4 linked regions of the Schizosaccharomyces pombe genome follow. The protein of the gene in region 2 purifies or fractionates together with the protein of the main gene of each other region. This does not show direct contact. Each region holds a gene or a part of one and is shown on either strand. Other genes may lie near its edges.

What was found.
Region 1: the proteins of lea1 (region 2) and ntr2 purify together in Schizosaccharomyces pombe (affinity purification with mass spectrometry; 2 studies listed by BioGRID). This does not show direct contact.
Region 3: the proteins of lea1 (region 2) and prp19 purify together in Schizosaccharomyces pombe (affinity purification with mass spectrometry; 2 studies listed by BioGRID, with this or other methods). This does not show direct contact.
Region 4: the proteins of lea1 (region 2) and prp17 purify together in Schizosaccharomyces pombe (affinity purification with mass spectrometry; 2 studies listed by BioGRID, with this or other methods). This does not show direct contact.

What each region holds. Positions count from the first base shown.
Region 1 is NC_003424.3:3,567,432-3,571,228, reverse strand, and holds ntr2 (spliceosome complex disassembly protein Ntr2), read left to right. Parts: upstream 1-1,683; 5' UTR 1,684-1,689; coding exon 1,690-1,786; exon of another isoform or gene 1,787-1,860; coding exon 1,861-1,937; exon of another isoform or gene 1,938-2,002; coding exon 2,003-2,088; exon of another isoform or gene 2,089-2,136; coding exon 2,137-2,962; 3' UTR 2,963-3,247; downstream 3,248-3,797. Other genes in the region: RNA-binding protein Csx1, read left to right, coding at 1-782; SPOM_SPAC17A2.07C (uncharacterized protein), read left to right, coding at 3,371-3,488, 3,591-3,797.
Region 2 is NC_003423.3:4,144,785-4,147,946, reverse strand, and holds lea1 (U2 snRNP-associated protein Lea1), read left to right. Parts: upstream 1-1,676; 5' UTR 1,677-1,883; coding exon 1,884-1,964; intron 1,965-2,025; coding exon 2,026-2,658; 3' UTR 2,659-2,662; downstream 2,663-3,162. Other genes in the region: serine/threonine protein kinase Ppk22, read right to left, coding at 1-291; elc1 (elongin C), read right to left, coding at 2,849-2,853, 2,892-3,025, 3,069-3,117, 3,158-3,162.
Region 3 is NC_003424.3:5,131,504-5,135,842, forward strand, and holds prp19 (Prp19 complex subunit, ubiquitin-protein ligase E4 Prp19), read left to right. Parts: upstream 1-1,719; 5' UTR 1,720-1,738; coding exon 1,739-1,796; exon of another isoform or gene 1,797-1,836; coding exon 1,837-1,941; intron 1,942-2,280; exon of another isoform or gene 2,281-2,426; coding exon 2,427-3,730; 3' UTR 3,731-3,839; downstream 3,840-4,339. Other genes in the region: RNA polymerase I upstream activation factor complex subunit Rrn5, read right to left, coding at 1-222; rRNA exonuclease Rrp17, read right to left, coding at 737-1,138, 1,186-1,291, 1,332-1,435; srb6 (mediator complex subunit Med22), read right to left, coding at 3,920-4,330. UniProt on the Schizosaccharomyces pombe protein: Probable ubiquitin-protein ligase involved in pre-mRNA splicing. May also function in DNA repair.
Region 4 is NC_003423.3:2,649,951-2,655,546, forward strand, and holds the start of prp17 (Prp19 complex WD repeat protein Prp17), read left to right. Parts: upstream 1-1,643; 5' UTR 1,644-1,695; coding exon 1,696-1,806; exon of another isoform or gene 1,807-1,847; coding exon 1,848-2,612; exon of another isoform or gene 2,613-2,651; coding exon 2,652-3,267; exon of another isoform or gene 3,268-3,310; coding exon 3,311-3,358; exon of another isoform or gene 3,359-3,397; coding exon 3,398-3,534; 3' UTR 3,535-3,594; coding exon of another isoform or gene 3,595-5,596. Other genes in the region: Mre11 complex BRCT domain subunit Nbs1, read right to left, coding at 1-273, 316-395, 435-583, 688-776, 815-868, 928-964; 1-phosphatidylinositol-3-phosphate 5-kinase Fab1, read right to left, coding at 3,595-5,596.

The sequences.
Region 1 (3,797 bases), on a different chromosome or scaffold from region 2:
TATCTGCCTTGTCTCAATCTCAATCCCAAGTTTCAGATGAGGGCTTCGACAGAACTCTTTCCGCTAACCAAATTTTCGGTATGAATCAATCTGTCATTGGAGCAAACTCTGGCAGCTCAAACTCATCCGGCTCTAGCTTGAAGAGTGCACCTGTTTCACCTCGTACTGCTGCTGCGCAATCTTTGTTGCCAAACTCCGTTGTTTCCTCAATCAATGGCATGAACTCCGTAAATTTTTCAACCATTTCTCCACCTCCTTTGTCTCGTTCAGCCTCCATTTCTCCTACGTTGTCCGGTAGTGGCTCAGGTTTGACACCTCTTTCTTCCCATTTCCCTTCAGCTGCCACTGGCTTGGTAGGCGGACAGGTGTATCCTCAGTCTTCTGTTTTGCAATCCTCAAAAATTAATGGTTCTGCAAAGGTCCAGCCTAGTGTGAAGCTCCCCGAATGGTTGCAGCCTTTTTCCGGCAACAATCATAACTCCTTTGCTACTCAAGATTTATTAACACGTGTTTCCTCCTTAAAGTTGGTTGATGATGAGCAACCTGCTTCTTTGAATGGTTCAGCATTTCAAGCGAGAGCTTCTAGGCCTTGGAACCTAGGAAGGGAGCGTCAGTCTTCACTAATTGATCTCCGTCATGAGTTGGAGCAAAATGAAAACGGTTTGGAGAAATCCGGCTTTGGTTTGAACTTGAGAGGTCGCTTGCCTCCTCGTTCTTATTCTACATTTAATTGTACTGGTCAATACTTGCAACCTTCTCTACGCTTGTCACGCGATTCATAAATTATTTTTATGATGTTTGAAATGCATTACTACTACTACTATTTGTTTCTTCCACTTCTCTTCTTAAGTGAAGGGATTTCCCGAATATTCTTGTTTTATTTCTAATGTTTTTGTTTTAATTTTTTATTTATTTTCGTTTTTCAAAGGCATCCGTATAAGTTTTCGAGGGCTCCTGATCAAGTTAGTTTAATGTCTTAAAGAACTGAAGGGTGCTCTCGTGATTTTTTTTATTTTGTTTTGTTTTTATTCTTGTATGTTAAATCTCTCTTGTGATGTTTTTTATAACTGTTGAATATTATTTGTGCCAAGGATTGTTTTATTTATGATTGTTTTATTTTTCTTTCATTGCTGTTGTTCCTTAATGCACATATGTACATGAAAACTTCCATTGAGGTTTTTCAAACGTCCAAATCTTTTTTTTGGATCGATGAGTTATTTATATGTTTTATTTTAAAATGTCCTTTCCAAAAAATAATTTTGTTATTTTTTCTTCTGATTTTCTAAATAATTAAAAGCATTGTTTTTGTTTTCAACTTATATAATGGAAATTTTCCAGTGACTGTAGTAGATATTGGTAGCTTGTCGATTGTAGCTTTTCAATTAAAAGTTTTAAATCTGAAACTTGAATTTCAAACACATTTCTCTAAAATTAGTCGAAAAAAATGTAAGTCAATTGAACAAATACTTTTCTGATGCTTTGCATTATCCGATGCACCTCTTCAGTATGTGCCATAATATTAAATGCCCAAGTAAAGACATTTATGTTTATCCCTTTCTAATTTTCACAGAACATAAAAACATCATTTTAATTAAGACTTTATATGATTTTTTTTTTACAAAAATAGCTATTCAATATGAAAGATTGGTAGAAATATGTTTGCCTAGAAAGTAGCACCCATTTACCAACATGCGACGATACTTAAAAAAGGCGAAGCCTAAAATCGTGCAAACGAGCGACAATGAGGAAGAAAAGCATGAAGAAAATTTAAACGTTTCTCAATCAAGTAAGAACTTAAAAGCGCAAAAGTGCTTGGGCTCGAATAGAACTTATTATCGCAAGTGTACTAACAATGCTTAGACAAAAATGCAAATAGAAGAAAAACAAAAGCGAAAGAAAAAAATTCGGGAAAATTTAGGGTGAAATATGAGAACGAGGTAAGTTGTTTTTTGCTGGAAAACGTTTTACCAATTCATCTGTTATATTAACAAACATTGATTAGGAAGGAGACGACGATGGGGAGGATTCTCAAATCCCTTTGATTCCAAAGGTAAAAAAGCAAAGCTCTTTTCATTCGGTTGATGATTTGTAAGTAAAATGTTTTAAGTCCAAGTATTAGTTATCTAATTAATAAAGAATATCGCGAAGAATGGATGCTCTCTCGCATGAAAGTGGATACTCCAATGCTTATGTGGATGAGTTAAAGAGAAAAAGTAGGCAGACACCATCAGAATTTACAAAGAAGGAGGAGGATTCCTCGACCAAAGAAAGCGAATTGCAAACAAGATCGTCACCTCCTTTACCCGTTAATACTAGTTTGGAATGGAATATGCTTAATCAAGGCATTCCTGAGGAAGCAATGATTAAGGAGTTAAAGGATCGAGAAGGAAGAAAGAGAAACATTGCCATGATGACGGATAATTACATTTCACTTGAAACAGGGGACCAACTGATGTTGGCACAAAATCATAAAGAAGAGAAATTGCTTCAAACGGAAGACGAAATTCAAGATGAAGGTTACTCTGGATTTGAAAATTACGTGGAGGAGTCAGAAAAACTTCAAGAAATATACCACCATAGCTCGGAAAGTTTACGGACACGATCAATTCAAATGGCCGTCGACCAGAAAAATATGGAGATGGAATTGGACGATGAAGACATAGCAGAGCCCATCCAATCATGGGAACATACTCAAATCAAGAAAGGTGCCTTTGGAGAATCTCCTGCTTTTACAAATGGACTTTCTGTGAAGCTTCCTAATATTCTTACAATGGATGAACAAATTCAGCGGCTAAAAGAAGCAATAGCTTCTGAGAAGCTTCAGCAGGAGGAGCGTTCACAGATTATTAAATCACTTATGGAAGAAGAACTCGAGATTAATGAACAAGAGGAAAAGATTAAACATTCTTTCATTGATTTAGATAAAACTTTGTTGAACAACCTTACCAAAAGCAAATCCTGATTTACTTTGGATTTTTTAATTGATAAAAAAAAAACAAAGAAGAAAGACATGGTCGATAAATTTACTTAACGCTATAACTTAGATTTACATTTCTTACAGAACTCTTATCCTTGTACAGTATTAATTAGCTGTTACAGCCCATCGGTGACTTGTTGAAATAGAAAAACAGTGCCAAGAAGTCACCGGGAATTACAAAAAAATAATGACCCGATATTTATGGAGATAATAGATATTAATTGCTAGAAGATTTCATTAGCTTTATCACATATTAAAGTTATAGCCTCTGAGTATTCAAAACTTTAGTAAGTAGCATTGTCACTTACAATGGATTTTGTGTGTTGAAGAGAATACATTTTACCTACTGCCAAAAAGTGGGTTTACAATAAGACTTGTCATTTTATCGTCTCAATGGCTCTGAAAAGAAGCTATTATGCGTCAAAAGATGATTATTCGACGAAAAGAATCCTCGAAATTATCGAAAGGCCATTGAAGAAGCTTACAATAGAGGATACTTCAGAATATGATGGTATGTATACTATCGATTAACCTTTTGAATAAATTTAAAAGGGAAAGCGAATTCTCTTACAATATCCTTTATTCCATGTCAATATATTAACAGTCGGTGCAGATTCTGATATTGAAATGCCAACCTGCAAGCGTGTAGCTTACTACAAAAATGAGTACACAATTGTTGTAGAAGACTTGGATGCTGAACTGGAAGAAGATGACAGCATAAATAAGCCTACAGAAGAGGCTGACGAAGCTCCACGGACACAACTTTCTGTGATCTCTCCTTTGGAAAAGAAATTGAAACGGGATTTTCTATTTTTGCTCT
Region 2 (3,162 bases):
TCCTTTGTGAGAATCAGGTGCGGAAGATACGCGTCTAAGGCTGGGACGACTATCCAATTGATCGCTACTATCATTCAGATCTAATTCATTCAATTGATTAACATTAATATCAAAGGTTGAGTCATCAGAATCATTATCCCTCTGATCATTTCGGACACTAGTAGAAACGGTTGCCGCTCGATTCCTACGAAAGTGAAACAAATTTTTCAGTTTATCTGAAAAGTGCGACTGGCTCATACCATCATCGGTGGAAGAGGGACTTTTGTCATTAAATTCAGTTTCTCGAGCCATTCTAAGTCATCCATTAATCTCGTAGCGCTTCAAACATTCACCGGTTAATAAATTTCGCTGACGGCTCACTTATAATACCTAATATAAATCAGAATGTAAGCAAACTTGAAAAACGACTTCAAAGCTCCCAAATAGTCTAATATAACTAGCCGAATGGTATTCCTCCTGCTTATATTAATTCTTGTTTCATTTGGAGGTGTCGGCAAAAGAATAGTTAGTGGAGCCACGGCCATCCTTATGTTATATAATCCTCTTTTTAAGCATATAGAAATAAACAGTCATATTGTAGCATTAACTAACAAGCAGCTTCAAAATACTTAGTTGAAGCTATTGTAAATAAAAGAAAAAACTTGTTTTTGGTTTTTATGTGTGGGTATTGATCTGTAGTTTTGTAGTAAATTCAGTTTGAATAATTCTTACTGGAACAGAATAAGTGTTAGAATAAATGCAGTGATTTTTAATTTCATATTCTCAAGAGTGACTGTATGATTTATAAGTACACGAGCTATGGAAGCACAACATTTAATCATGTATTTCTTCCACTTTCAACTACAAAAGAGGCTACTCTAAACCCAAACATTATCCGAAATGTCGATGTACATTTGTCGATATCGCTGGCATTTTCAATTAGTCCGACTCATGTGGTATTAGTATGAGGATGGATAGTTGATTCGATATTAGAAGCTGTCATATCAATTTAAATATAATTTCTTAGCAGTGCTTTCATTGAGATAGAGCAATACGATAGAAACAATCTGAAGAATTCATTAAAACTGTTACATTAAAAAACGACTTGATGTCAATATTGTTTTTGGAATGTTTTTCATTAAATGAGAAAACAAAAAGATATAGCAGTTTAGTAAGTATCTCAATGCAATTTTTTAATAGGAAAACAGGTTCCTTAAGCAACTCTGAATAATTGTAAATAACCTGGTTTCAAACTTTCGTTGGCGGTTTGTGCTCACGAAGTCAAATAGGGAGGCAGTATGAACATTATAGATGAGTTGAACTAAAACTTTGAGTGGAAAACAATGTGTGTTTCATCCAAATAGTCGATTGCTTGTGTTTGTTTTTGAGAGCTCAACAGATAAAAGAGTGTGTACCAATTTCTGACAAACTTAAGATATATATTTGACAACAATGAAAAAATGTTTTATTTAAAGGTGTCAAAACACACATATACAAAAATCATTTATTCTCTGTTTTCCCAAGAATTTTCTAGTACGAAAGCCGATTCTTGAACATGGAAGTCGTCAGTCAATTATCAAAGTATAATTACGCATAATTTGTTTTTTTTAAATCTAAAAAGTAGAAAAAGTGAGTATTTTTTGCTTATTGAGTCAAGATTTCTTTGTATTTATTTATGTGCTTACTATCCAAACTCTACCACTTTGCTTCTTCTCTTGACGTGTCATATTCTTGGTTTTTACATAATTAACTTTACATTATTAGATTCTAAAACGTTAACTATAACATTTTTTGAATAAACAATAGTGAAATTTAGGATTGTGAGCGTTTTGGATAATTTTTTAGGAATTTTAAATCATACTGCAGTAACAGCATAAAAAAGGCATTTTCATTACAAAAATTTCATGCGTCTTAATGCTGAATTTTTGTCTCAGGTACCCTCATTCATCAGTCCTTTGAAAGAAACTGAGCTTGATTTAAGATATGTTTAAAGAAATTACTGTATGCTACGTGTCATCCAGCTAACTCATAATTACAGGGTATCAGATTCCAATAATTGAAAATTTAGGAGTGTTAAGGGACGTACACGATGCAATTGATTTCACAGACAATGACATTCGATATTTAGGGAATTTCCCTCGTATGAAAAGGCTTCAAACGCTTTTGTGTGGAAATAACCGAATAACTGCTATAGCCCCAGACATAGGTAAAGTTCTTCCGAATTTAAAGACTTTATCCCTAGCACAAAATCATCTTCAAGAAATAGCAGATTTAGATCCGTTGGCTAGTTGTCCTCAACTCACTAATTTGTCGTGCATTGACAATCCAGTTGCTCAAAAACAATATTATAGATTATATCTTATATGGAGAATTCCTTCGTTACATATTTTAGATTTCGAACGGGTTAGAAGAAATGAAAGGCTTCGTGCTGAAGAAGTGTTTGGTCAAATTCAAAACCCTACAGAAATAGCTTCCTCTATTATGGGTGTGAAAAGTCGAGTATTTGATTTGGCTGCATTGGTACAAAGCCACCCAGAAGCGAATTCTCCTATTACAACTGGATATACACTTACACCTGAGGAAAGAGAAAAGATCAAAGAAGCCATTAAAAATGCCTCTTCCATTGCTGAGATAAATCGACTGGAAGCTATGCTATTAGAGGGGAAAATTCCAAAATAAAGTAACTCACAAGATTTCTAGAAACCGCATAGTTATATAATACATTTTTTCCATCTCATTTCTTGCATTCGATAGGTAACGCGTTTAATAGTTATTTAAGGCATCAAATCGTTAATCGTAAACAAAAACCGTCAATTCTTTAATGCTGTAGCAATTTAGCAATCCTTTCGTTCCTCGTGAGTAATCAGAATTATGCTGTATTCATTAGCTTTAAATAGTAATGATAATCTTACCTTCCAAATATTCCGCAGTGACCAATAATTCTAAAACCATCTCAGGTGGGATATCGAACTTTGGAATATCTAATTGATTTTTATATCTGTAATTGTAATGCAAATATTCACAAACTTTTTCCAACAGTGTTGCCCTAGACACCTTATTAGAATTGAATGAATAGACCAATTGCATACCGTATATCAGGAAATGTGCATTCATTTTTTTGCGCCTCAGAAAATATTCCTATACATTAGAATTACTTTACTAAATATCATTATCAAACCTTCG
Region 3 (4,339 bases), on a different chromosome or scaffold from region 2:
CCAGTAAGTTCCATCCACACAAGAGCCACTAAGAACGCCCCATTGTTCTTCTTCCAAATCAAAGTCACGCTTATTTTCAGTCTCAACTTCGTATTGTTGAAGGACGTCTAGGTATCGTTCATCATGAGTCATGTACAATTGCTCACTTGAGCCAATGATAGATGCAGTGCTTAAAGGCGTTGACCCTTCACTCTCATTTAATCCGTTTATTGAAGAAGACATGTTATTATTGAGAACATGATCAACGCTAATGAAATAAAAGCTGTTGCAGTCTTCTTTTTAATATTTTTTTGTTTACCACATTACCAGACGTGGTTTGTGTTCTGACAAAGATCAAACTCGGTATTCTAGTGAATTTCGCTAATATACTAAAATCCAAAGGAATATATAAATGTAGAGTATCTCTAAAATTTACGGGTTTTAAACATAATAAAAAAATATAAATCGTGCTAAAATCTAGCTTACCGCTTATTGAGTACAAATTTTTTGCGCATGTACAAACACCTTAATCAAAACTGTGAACAAAAAATTGAAAAAGGCTGAAATGCATATATCAGACCAAGAAAAACTCCGTATATGTAATGATCTCTTGTAAAGTAGTTTGTTAACTTCCAAAAATTCTCAACCTGAAAAACGAATGGACAATTGAATTCAAATATCATTTTATACCAACCATATTCATAAATATAAAAAAAGGGCAAGATGCGTCAAACAACGTGTGCTTGAAGTTCCTAATTTAACGTCTTATTTTCTTCTTTAAACGACGTATTTTTTCTTTTCTTCTGTCCTGTGTACGTTCAAATTTGCTCTCATACCGAAATTTCTTTTTGGCGGCATTTTTAGGCTTGTGGGGACGCAAAGGAACATCTGGTGGAGGAGAAATACGAGGCGTGACAAAACCTTCTTTAGGATAAGCAATTTCTTCATCATCATCGTCCTCTACAATTTCTACCGTAACATGCTTATCATCTTCGTCATACTCAGTAGTTTTAGGCTCCATTGATGACTCTTCCTCGCTGTCAGATTTAGATGAGGAATCTTCTTGCTGTGAAGATTCTTCATCATTTTCTAGCGAGCTATTCAACTCTTTAGAGAATGCTAATCGCTCAGCCAGTTCTCTTTTGCGCTGTTCTCTGAGCTGAATAGTGTTAGTGATATACTCAAGATAGTATTAGAAAAACTTACAGATTTCCTCAACGCTAAACGTTCTTCGCGTTTTTGCTGCTCCAATTGAACTTGAGCATGCTTTCGTCGTTCAACTTTGCGTTTATGAAATCCAGTTAAATACTCTCTGTAACAAGTTAGTAGCAATCCCTTTATGATATCCATACTTTCGCTTCTCTTTATCAAAGACGATCTCCTCCAATCTTTGCTTCTTCCCTTTCTTCCTGCTGTAAATCTCACCTCCACGGGTTAGTAGAGATGTATTATCCATGATGCAACAGTTCGTGAGTAGCTAGAAGAGAGGGACAATTTATGGGAATCTGTAGTGATTTTAAGTAAATTATCTCCAATTCTATCCAGTCTCGTAATGGTCCAGTAGATTTATGAAGACGAGAGGTACTGAAACCCTACTATGCCTTGTACGTACATTTGCACTACTAACTAGAAAATTATTTGCAAAATGCATCGCATTTGCCTTATATTATATACGGATATTGGTATAGTGCAGTAAACGATTAGTTGGCTATGCATTGCTTTCCTCTAGCTATTACACACAGAAACCAACGTGTGCCGAATGTTTTGCTCAATCAGTGGAGAAACGCCAAAAGAACCGGTGATTTCTCGTGTAAGTGGTATGTTTGTACAATAATTTCCCTGTCTGACTGAATGTAGGAAATGTTTACGAGAAGCGCTTGATTGAACAAGTTATTCGTGAAACGTCTAAAGACCCTGTTACTCAACAGGAATGCACGTTGGAGGACTTGGTTCCTGTAAAGGGTAAGATTTCCTTCTTTATTATTGAATGGTTAAGAATTTCAAGTAGCACTTATTTTTTTATACGTGGAGTACTGAATATTCTGAAATTGGTTTGGAAAGTAAAACCCTGCAATATTGGTTGAAGAACTCGTTTATTTTCTTTTTTTTGTTGATAATGTATTTTATTGCATGATTGATTTGTACTCGAAATTTTTTAATTTTACAGCTTTATATTTCTCCTTAAAAAGTGGACTATTTAGTGCATGTCAATATCTCGGGGCAGAAATTAGGAAGGTTTTTAGAGAATTATAGAACAACCTTGTCGGATTTATCAAAACAAATCTTTATCAAAATTAATGTGGAGTTGTTGAGGAAAATGTATTAATACTTTAGATTTTTTTTGGTTTTTGCTCTCCAATGCGATTTATATTTACTATATTTTGATTGTACTGACCATTCACATATAAAGCGAATCAAATCGAAGATAATTGCTAACCTTTAAACAGTACCTGATTTTGTTAGACCTCGACCTCCTTCTGCCACTTCATTGCCTGCATTGCTGTCTCTCTTTCAAGAAGAATGGGATTCTGTCGCGCTTGAGCAATTTGAACTTAGAAGAAATCTTACAGAGACGAAGCAGGAGTTATCAACGGCATTGTATTCGCTAGATGCTGCGTTAAGAGTTATATCTCGGCTTACCAAAGAAAGAGACGAAGCTAGAGAAGCATTGGCGAAATTTTCCGATAACATAGGCACTGTTTCCTCGAAAACTATTGAAGTACAAGAGGTAGAGATGGGCGAAAGTGATGACCAGCTTAAAACTAGCTTACGCTCTACGGTGGAAAAAACATTTCAAGAACTTTCTTCCAAAAGGAAACGTACAAAGTTACAACCTAAATGGGCGACTGACGATGCTGTGAGTCAGCTCTTGCAAGCTACTCCTTCTACTATCTTAGAAAATTTGGAAACAGAAAGCACTACGTCTTTCTTCCCGTCCCCTGAAAATTCTTCTTTTGTATTATGTCTTCATAAGGATGAACTTTTATGTCTAGATATCCAATCCAACAGTACTCTCAAAATTTTTGAAGGATCAGCTTTAGCGTGTTGTTGGTTGACTTCTTCCAAGATTGCTGTCGCTACTGCTGATGCCATTTCAATTTTTGAATTTCCTGTTTCCTCATCTGGTTTACAAAGTGTGGGTGAACCTACTTCGTCCATTCCTATAGACGAAAAGGTGAACTTCCTTCAAGCTCATCCAAGTGGGGAATATTTATTAGCAGCATCAAACGAAAAGTGTTATATTTTCTCCCTGAAATCCCAGGTTTATAATATCACCGTTGCTCAACACATTACATCTCTTGCTGTACATCCGGACGGTAACCTCTTTGTCGCTGGGTTAGAGAATGGCGAGTTACGCTTTTTTGAGACTTCCTCGGGAAATGAGCTTACAAAATTTGGACCACATTCAAGTCCAGTTAAAACATTACAATTTGGTGAAAACGGTTATTGGCTTGTAGTAACAACTAATGATGACTCTGACATTTTCATTTGGGACTTAAGAAAATCTGAGCTTGTTCAAAAAATACCCCTACAAACCAAAGTCGCAGCAGTGTCATTAGATATTACTAGTCAACTTTTGGTAAGTTCGGATGGGGAGACTCTCTATGTACATATTTATGTCAAATCTTCAAAGTCTTGGAGATGTATGAGTCAAACCCATGTTTCCTCTATTTCTAATTTGGTTTGGTTAAATGAGTTACACCAGTTGTTGTTTAGTACTTCAAATGGAGCCATTCTCCGGTTGGGTTAACCCAATTTTTAATCCTTTAATTATGTGCTCCTCCATTAGGCTTTTCGTATTTAGTAAGATTTTGGCTCTTTAACTTAAGTGATTTCCTTCATAATGAAATATTTAGGCAAACTATTATTTTTCAGATAGATGTATCATTAAATTTTGACATTTGGTTTAATTGGCAAAAAATAATTTATGTGAGTTAACTCAAGTGTCAGAAACAGTGGGAGCCTCAGTTGTTTCTGATGCTTCTGGTTCAATTAAACTGACTTCCAGTAAATGATTTTGTAGTTTAGTAAGAGTTCTTTTAACTTTCTCAAGATCAGGCTCGCTGTAATCGACAGTCGGAAAAGACGTGGAAAGAGAATTAGTGAGCCAATATGATTTAATTTGTCGAGAAACATCCAGTAACTGTTCTACCGCGCGAACCATGGACACAGTATGGCATTCAATCTGGTAAACCTCTGGTGCTACCGTATATTTATCTTTGCCTTCATTTATAGCAATATCCAGTATGTCTTGAAACCTTGACAAAATAGTTAGTGTAGCATTGTCAATAGACGAATTTAAAGTATTAGTTCGCTGAACTAGCTGCCGTTGGAAACTGTCTGAAGACATACTAGCTTT
Region 4 (5,596 bases), 1.5 Mb from region 2:
CTTCTAATGAATTTATGCAGTCTTCAGGAGATGACGGGAATTGATCGTTGTTCTTTATGATATTTTTAAAACATTCAAGCGCATCTGGCATTAGGCTGGCGTCTTCAATTACGGATTCTTTAACAGTTGATAGGTACTGAAGATAGCTATCATCTATAATTACAGTTTTTTTAAGAAAAGCATACATAGTTCCAACAGTTATACTGGACCCAGCTTGTCTGTTCATAACAAAGTGGGTAGTAGCATCGCTATCGCGTAGTCCAGTCGGTATACCTGAAAGTTGATAAGAAGTGAAAAAAAAAAAGACCGAAGTACCTAAGAGGTTTAAATTTGAAGCCCACTGGGATAACATTTCAGGGTTATCGAATTGTATACACATACTTCTCCAGTATGCACTTAAAGTTAGTAAATCATATATAGTCGATAAAACTTACTTTATCGTGAATGGACATTTACCCAGTTGTATTTTAAGATCTTTTTCTTTGTAAGAATCACCATTTTGACCAACAACTTTTTCATTAACCTTGGTTCCAAACTTCGTATCGAGGTCCTTTACTTCAAACTCGCATGGGCCACCGGTAAACTGTGCACATATTAGCTGGCATTGATTTAAAATATAAGAAAGATAAACATATAATAGAAATGAAAAATGAAAAGCTCAATATTTCCATTTAATTGGATACGTACGTAGTCTTTCTCACTTGGGGTCAAAATCGTAAAACGAGCATGGCGTTTACTAATTGATTTAGAAATCACTTGAATGTGGGACGAATCGTCTGCAATATTAGAAAATTAACAAAAATAAGAAACTTACCAGATACATTTCGACCTACAATATAAGTTCCTGGAAATAGTATCCGTGATTTTCCTGCTGTTTAGTACGTACAATACGGCCATAATGAAATTGATATAGCTAGTAAGAGATACCTTTTAGAATGTCACCCTCAGCCTCAATTATCCACATTTTTTCAACATAAAATTCTTTTTATTGAAAAAATTCAGAAACCAGAATGCTGTTTTCACAACTGAGGATGCATAGGTGCGTCGCTTTTAATTTTAGTACAATTGAAAGTAACAAAGTAACCCTTTATGATGTCCAAAAGCCCTTCGTTAAATTAGAAGCTAAATCTACTAAACCAATTCTTGAATTTGAATTGACAAAGCTTGCTTTTCAAAGCTTTCTTCAAGAAAAAGTTTAATCAACAAAAACTCTTAAAAAATTTATAATTTCAAAAAATTAGACTTACACAGGTTCTCTGTCCTAGCCTTGCAAACACAAAAAATACTGTGAGTACACTAGAAAATGAATTTACTAAAGGGGTAAACTATCGTACCAAAATGAAATTTTTAAAGTCATGAGCTTATGTGAGCAAACAAACTTCAATTAAATACTATTTATCATACGTCGTGTATATGCACTACTGGATAACTTCTTTTACAGTTTAAAAAAGTCCATGCCTCTTTAAATAACTAACTTTATTTCTAGTTTTTACTACATTCCTTTATTTTTTAATCAATGAATTATCTATTACCTATCCTAATAAGCAGAAGTATGAGTTAGCTGTAGTGTTTCATTTTCGCTAATTGATATTAGCCAGGAATCTCTCATCCTCGCTAAACCTCCCTACAGCTTAATCTTCCTTAAACCATTACCATACGAATTTGCTGGTTTCATATTCGCCGTTTGCAATTTCTATGTTGGTTGCAAACTATTCTAGTGATTCAGAAGAACAGGAGAATTCCCAATCGCCTAACATCCAACCTCTTCTGCATACTGAAAATTTAGCGCCAGCTGTGGTTGATAACGTATTTATCAAATGTTTTTTATAACATGCTAATCATTTTAGGTAAAGGATGATTTAATTGTTTCAAAGGGAGGAAACTCTAGAGAATTAGCGCGTAATGTCCCGGTTAATGAAATGGTGCAGCCTGCTTTAGGGCCTGCAAATCCATTTGTCACTAAAGAACAGGATTCTATAAAGAACAGTATTACCGGTTATGCTGAGAGGGAATATGTTCCAAATTTTGTATTTAATCAAGAATATTATGCTAATACACATGCTATTTATGGAAAACGAAATTTTGATGATAACGAAGCTACTACTTCTACAGATTTAAAAAGGAAGTCCCAGAAAATAAAAGAACGTAGAGAGGATCCTGGCGATCCATCTATCCTTGAAGGGGATGGTGCTTATAAGGGGCCATGGGCCGGATACGGTTCTGAACAATCCTCTTCACCTTTGGAGTACAGTGAATATGAAGAGGTTGAATCCCTGGATGTCAAAAGTGAAAAGGATACGGAATCTAATAACCTGGGTCAAAATGAATTATTGAAGGAACAATTAGCTACTCCAGAAGTTGAAACTCATCGCTCTAAAGAAGAGACTATACTTCATAAAGATAGATTATTTGATTATCAAAATAGAAGCTATATGCATGTCCCGAATGACGTCGGAATAAATTTATCGGAAGAGCCTGGTGAACAAACTTGTTACATTCCAAAGAAGCATATATTCACTTGGAAAGGTCATACGAAAGGTATTTCCTGCCTTAGGTTTTTTCCGATTAGTGGCCATTTACTTCTTTCTGGCTCAATGGATAATCAGATAAAGGTATGTTTGTAAGCAAAAAGATGATAAACTAATATTTAGATTTGGGAAGTTTACCATGACCGTTCTTTGCTTCGTACATTCCAAGGACACGCTCGTCCTATCCGCGATTTATCATTTAGCCAAGATGGACGATCATTCTTAAGTACTAGTTTTGATAAAACAATTAAACTCTGGGATACCGAATTAGGGAAATGTTTGAACTGCTTTAATTCAGATAGATTAACAAACTGCGTCAAATTCCAAGTAGATCCTGATAAACCCAACGAGTTTTTAGCAGGAACAGCTGACAAAAGGATCCTTCAATTTGATATCAGAAGTCCTGATATTGTTCAAGCATACGATCATCATCTCGGCGGAATCAATTCCATAACATTCCTTGAAAACGGAAAGCGCTTCGTTACCACATCTGATGACTCTTCAATGCGATTTTGGGAATACGGAACTCCAGTTCCTATAAAATTTGTGGCTGACATTGCAATGCATTCAATGCCTCGGGTTGCCTTACGGCCAAATGGAAAGTCGATAGCATGTCAATCTCTAGATAACTGCATTTACGTATATTCGGCATACGAGAAATATAGACAAAACAAAAAGAAGGTCTTTAAGGGATACAGTTGTTCAGGTTATAGCCTAGAAGTTGGATTTTCACCTGATGGTATGGCGTTCATTTTTTATTACGAATTTCTAACTAGTTTTAGGGAGATTTGTTTTTAGCGGAGATTCGAGCGGAAATGCCTGTTTCTGGGGTAAGTGCTTGGAATTGGAAAAACACCTAACATTTTTAGATTGGAAAACCTGTAAGCTAATGGCTAAACTCCCGGCTCATAGTGGACCCGTACAAAGCATGGCGTTCCACCCTCAAGAAACAAGCAAGGTAGCTACATCATCTATAGTTGATGGGTCTATCAAATACTGGGATTAAAAAGATTGTTCATATTTCTTGACCAAACAGCGAAATATATACATTAAACTAACGTTTCTTCTATTCGCAAAACTTAAAACCTTCCCCAGTCTCAAAATCCTGAGATGCTAAAATATAGCAATCCATAGCCTTTCGGAATCTATTTTTGTATTGCTTTGGAGTAACAATTGTTGGTTCAGGACCTCTACCAACTAAGCCTTTCTCCTTTACCCAACTTTCAAGTTTTTTGTCCCAAGTGTATGTTCGTATGAAATCAATTATTCCAACATAAAGTTCTTTTTTTGTATAATCAATACCAACAATTAAAGAGTAATCCATGATATTGAGTTTTGAGAGGAACAATGTATCATTCCAAAGGCAAGAATGCAAAAGACTTTTTAGTTGTTCACTAACAAATATTGGAGATTCGTAAATAAGTTCAACCAAATTTTCATCAAGCAATACTTCATCTACCTTCCCTGTAGATTCTACATGTCGATTCCTCATGGAACCTTTAAGATCAAATATTCTAGACGGACATTCATCATAAAATACATTTTCCATAATCATTATATCAGTCTTACAGATTGTACCAGTAGTAGGATTTCGAATGTCTACGCGGTAAAATCCAAAGATTTTAGTCAATGCAGTTGGCAACTCGTGAAAGAAAACTTTAGATATGTAATCAAAATAAGCTGGAGCAAAATTAAGCAAGGAGTCACTTTCCAACCTTGACAGAACTTTGAGAATGTATTTCTTATCGAAAGTTTTTAAAAATGCTGATCCAGATTTTCCACCGCTAGATTCCCAAAGAGAACATCTCGCTAGAGATGTCACAAACGTCTCCTCACAGCCACAAGCTCTTCGCAAAGCACTAAATTGTTCCGCGAAAAAGACCTTACAGGATAGTCTTGCTGATCCTTCTTCAAACTGGTATTTCAAATGCGTCCCCGTTGGTTTGAGCATTAAGTTTTCAATTTTGAATTGCGTCGAGCCTTGTAAGCCTTGATTGGTTAAAGCTTCGTCCATGCTATCTTCAATTTCTACCATTTTTGATAAATAGTCAGGAGAGCTAAGAGTAAAACTTATCAAGGAGCTAGGTTCGTCTTCCCTTATGATCACATTTGAGTCGGAAAACATATGCTCTGTAGGTTGTAGAGGAAATTCAAAAGGTGGAGGATTGAGGGAGTTCCATTCATTCCAAAATGCAGATAAAATCCTGTAAACTGAAGTTTTGTCAGCCAAAGGACCAGAAGTTGGCAACTTTGATCCCTCTTTATCCATTTGACTAGAAGGTTCAAGGTTTTGCTGTTCTTCGAGGCCAGATTCATTTTTGAAAAGAATTCCAAAAATATCTTCAAACGCTTCAGGTGAATTGTCTTCATTCGAAGAAACATTTTCTCGCTCCTTGCTCATAGAATCAACTCCAGAAAAATTGCTTTCGGTAGCGCGATTTTCTTTTGTGTCATTAATGCCATTCTCATCTTCGGAATTTTCATCATCAAATGCTTCATTAAGGTCATTAAATACTTCTACTACCGGCTTAGATGGGACTACAGGAAGAGCCCGCTTGCGTCGAGCCTTTATTAATTCTTCATCTCGTTTTTGCTTTTCTTGTAATTGTAAACTTAGCTCTTCAAATCTACGCACTAAAGAGCTAACCCGCACATCTTTTGCTGGAATGGGCTTCCTGGGTGAGTATTTTGTAGAATTCTGTATACTGGAAATTTTTGCAGATATTGAAGAAGAAATAGGCATGTTCATCCCACTTGTTGAAGATGCATTGACAAATCGCCTGTCACTGGTACTAGCACTTTTCCGCTTATGAGAAAGCATATTAACGCCTTGTCTTTGGCTTATATTTGGATACGTTTGTCTACTGAAACCTGAATTTGAGACCGGAGAAGCTGGAAAAGTGTTCTGAGTAGAAATATCATTGGTAAAATCGATGTTGGCTTTAGGAATATCGGAAGATGTTGCTACTGAAAAGCAATCAGATTCTGGAGAACCAACATTTGCCATACTATCTGCATACGGAGCAACACGCTTGTTTGAAGCAACATTAGTTTGGGTAACTTTCTCG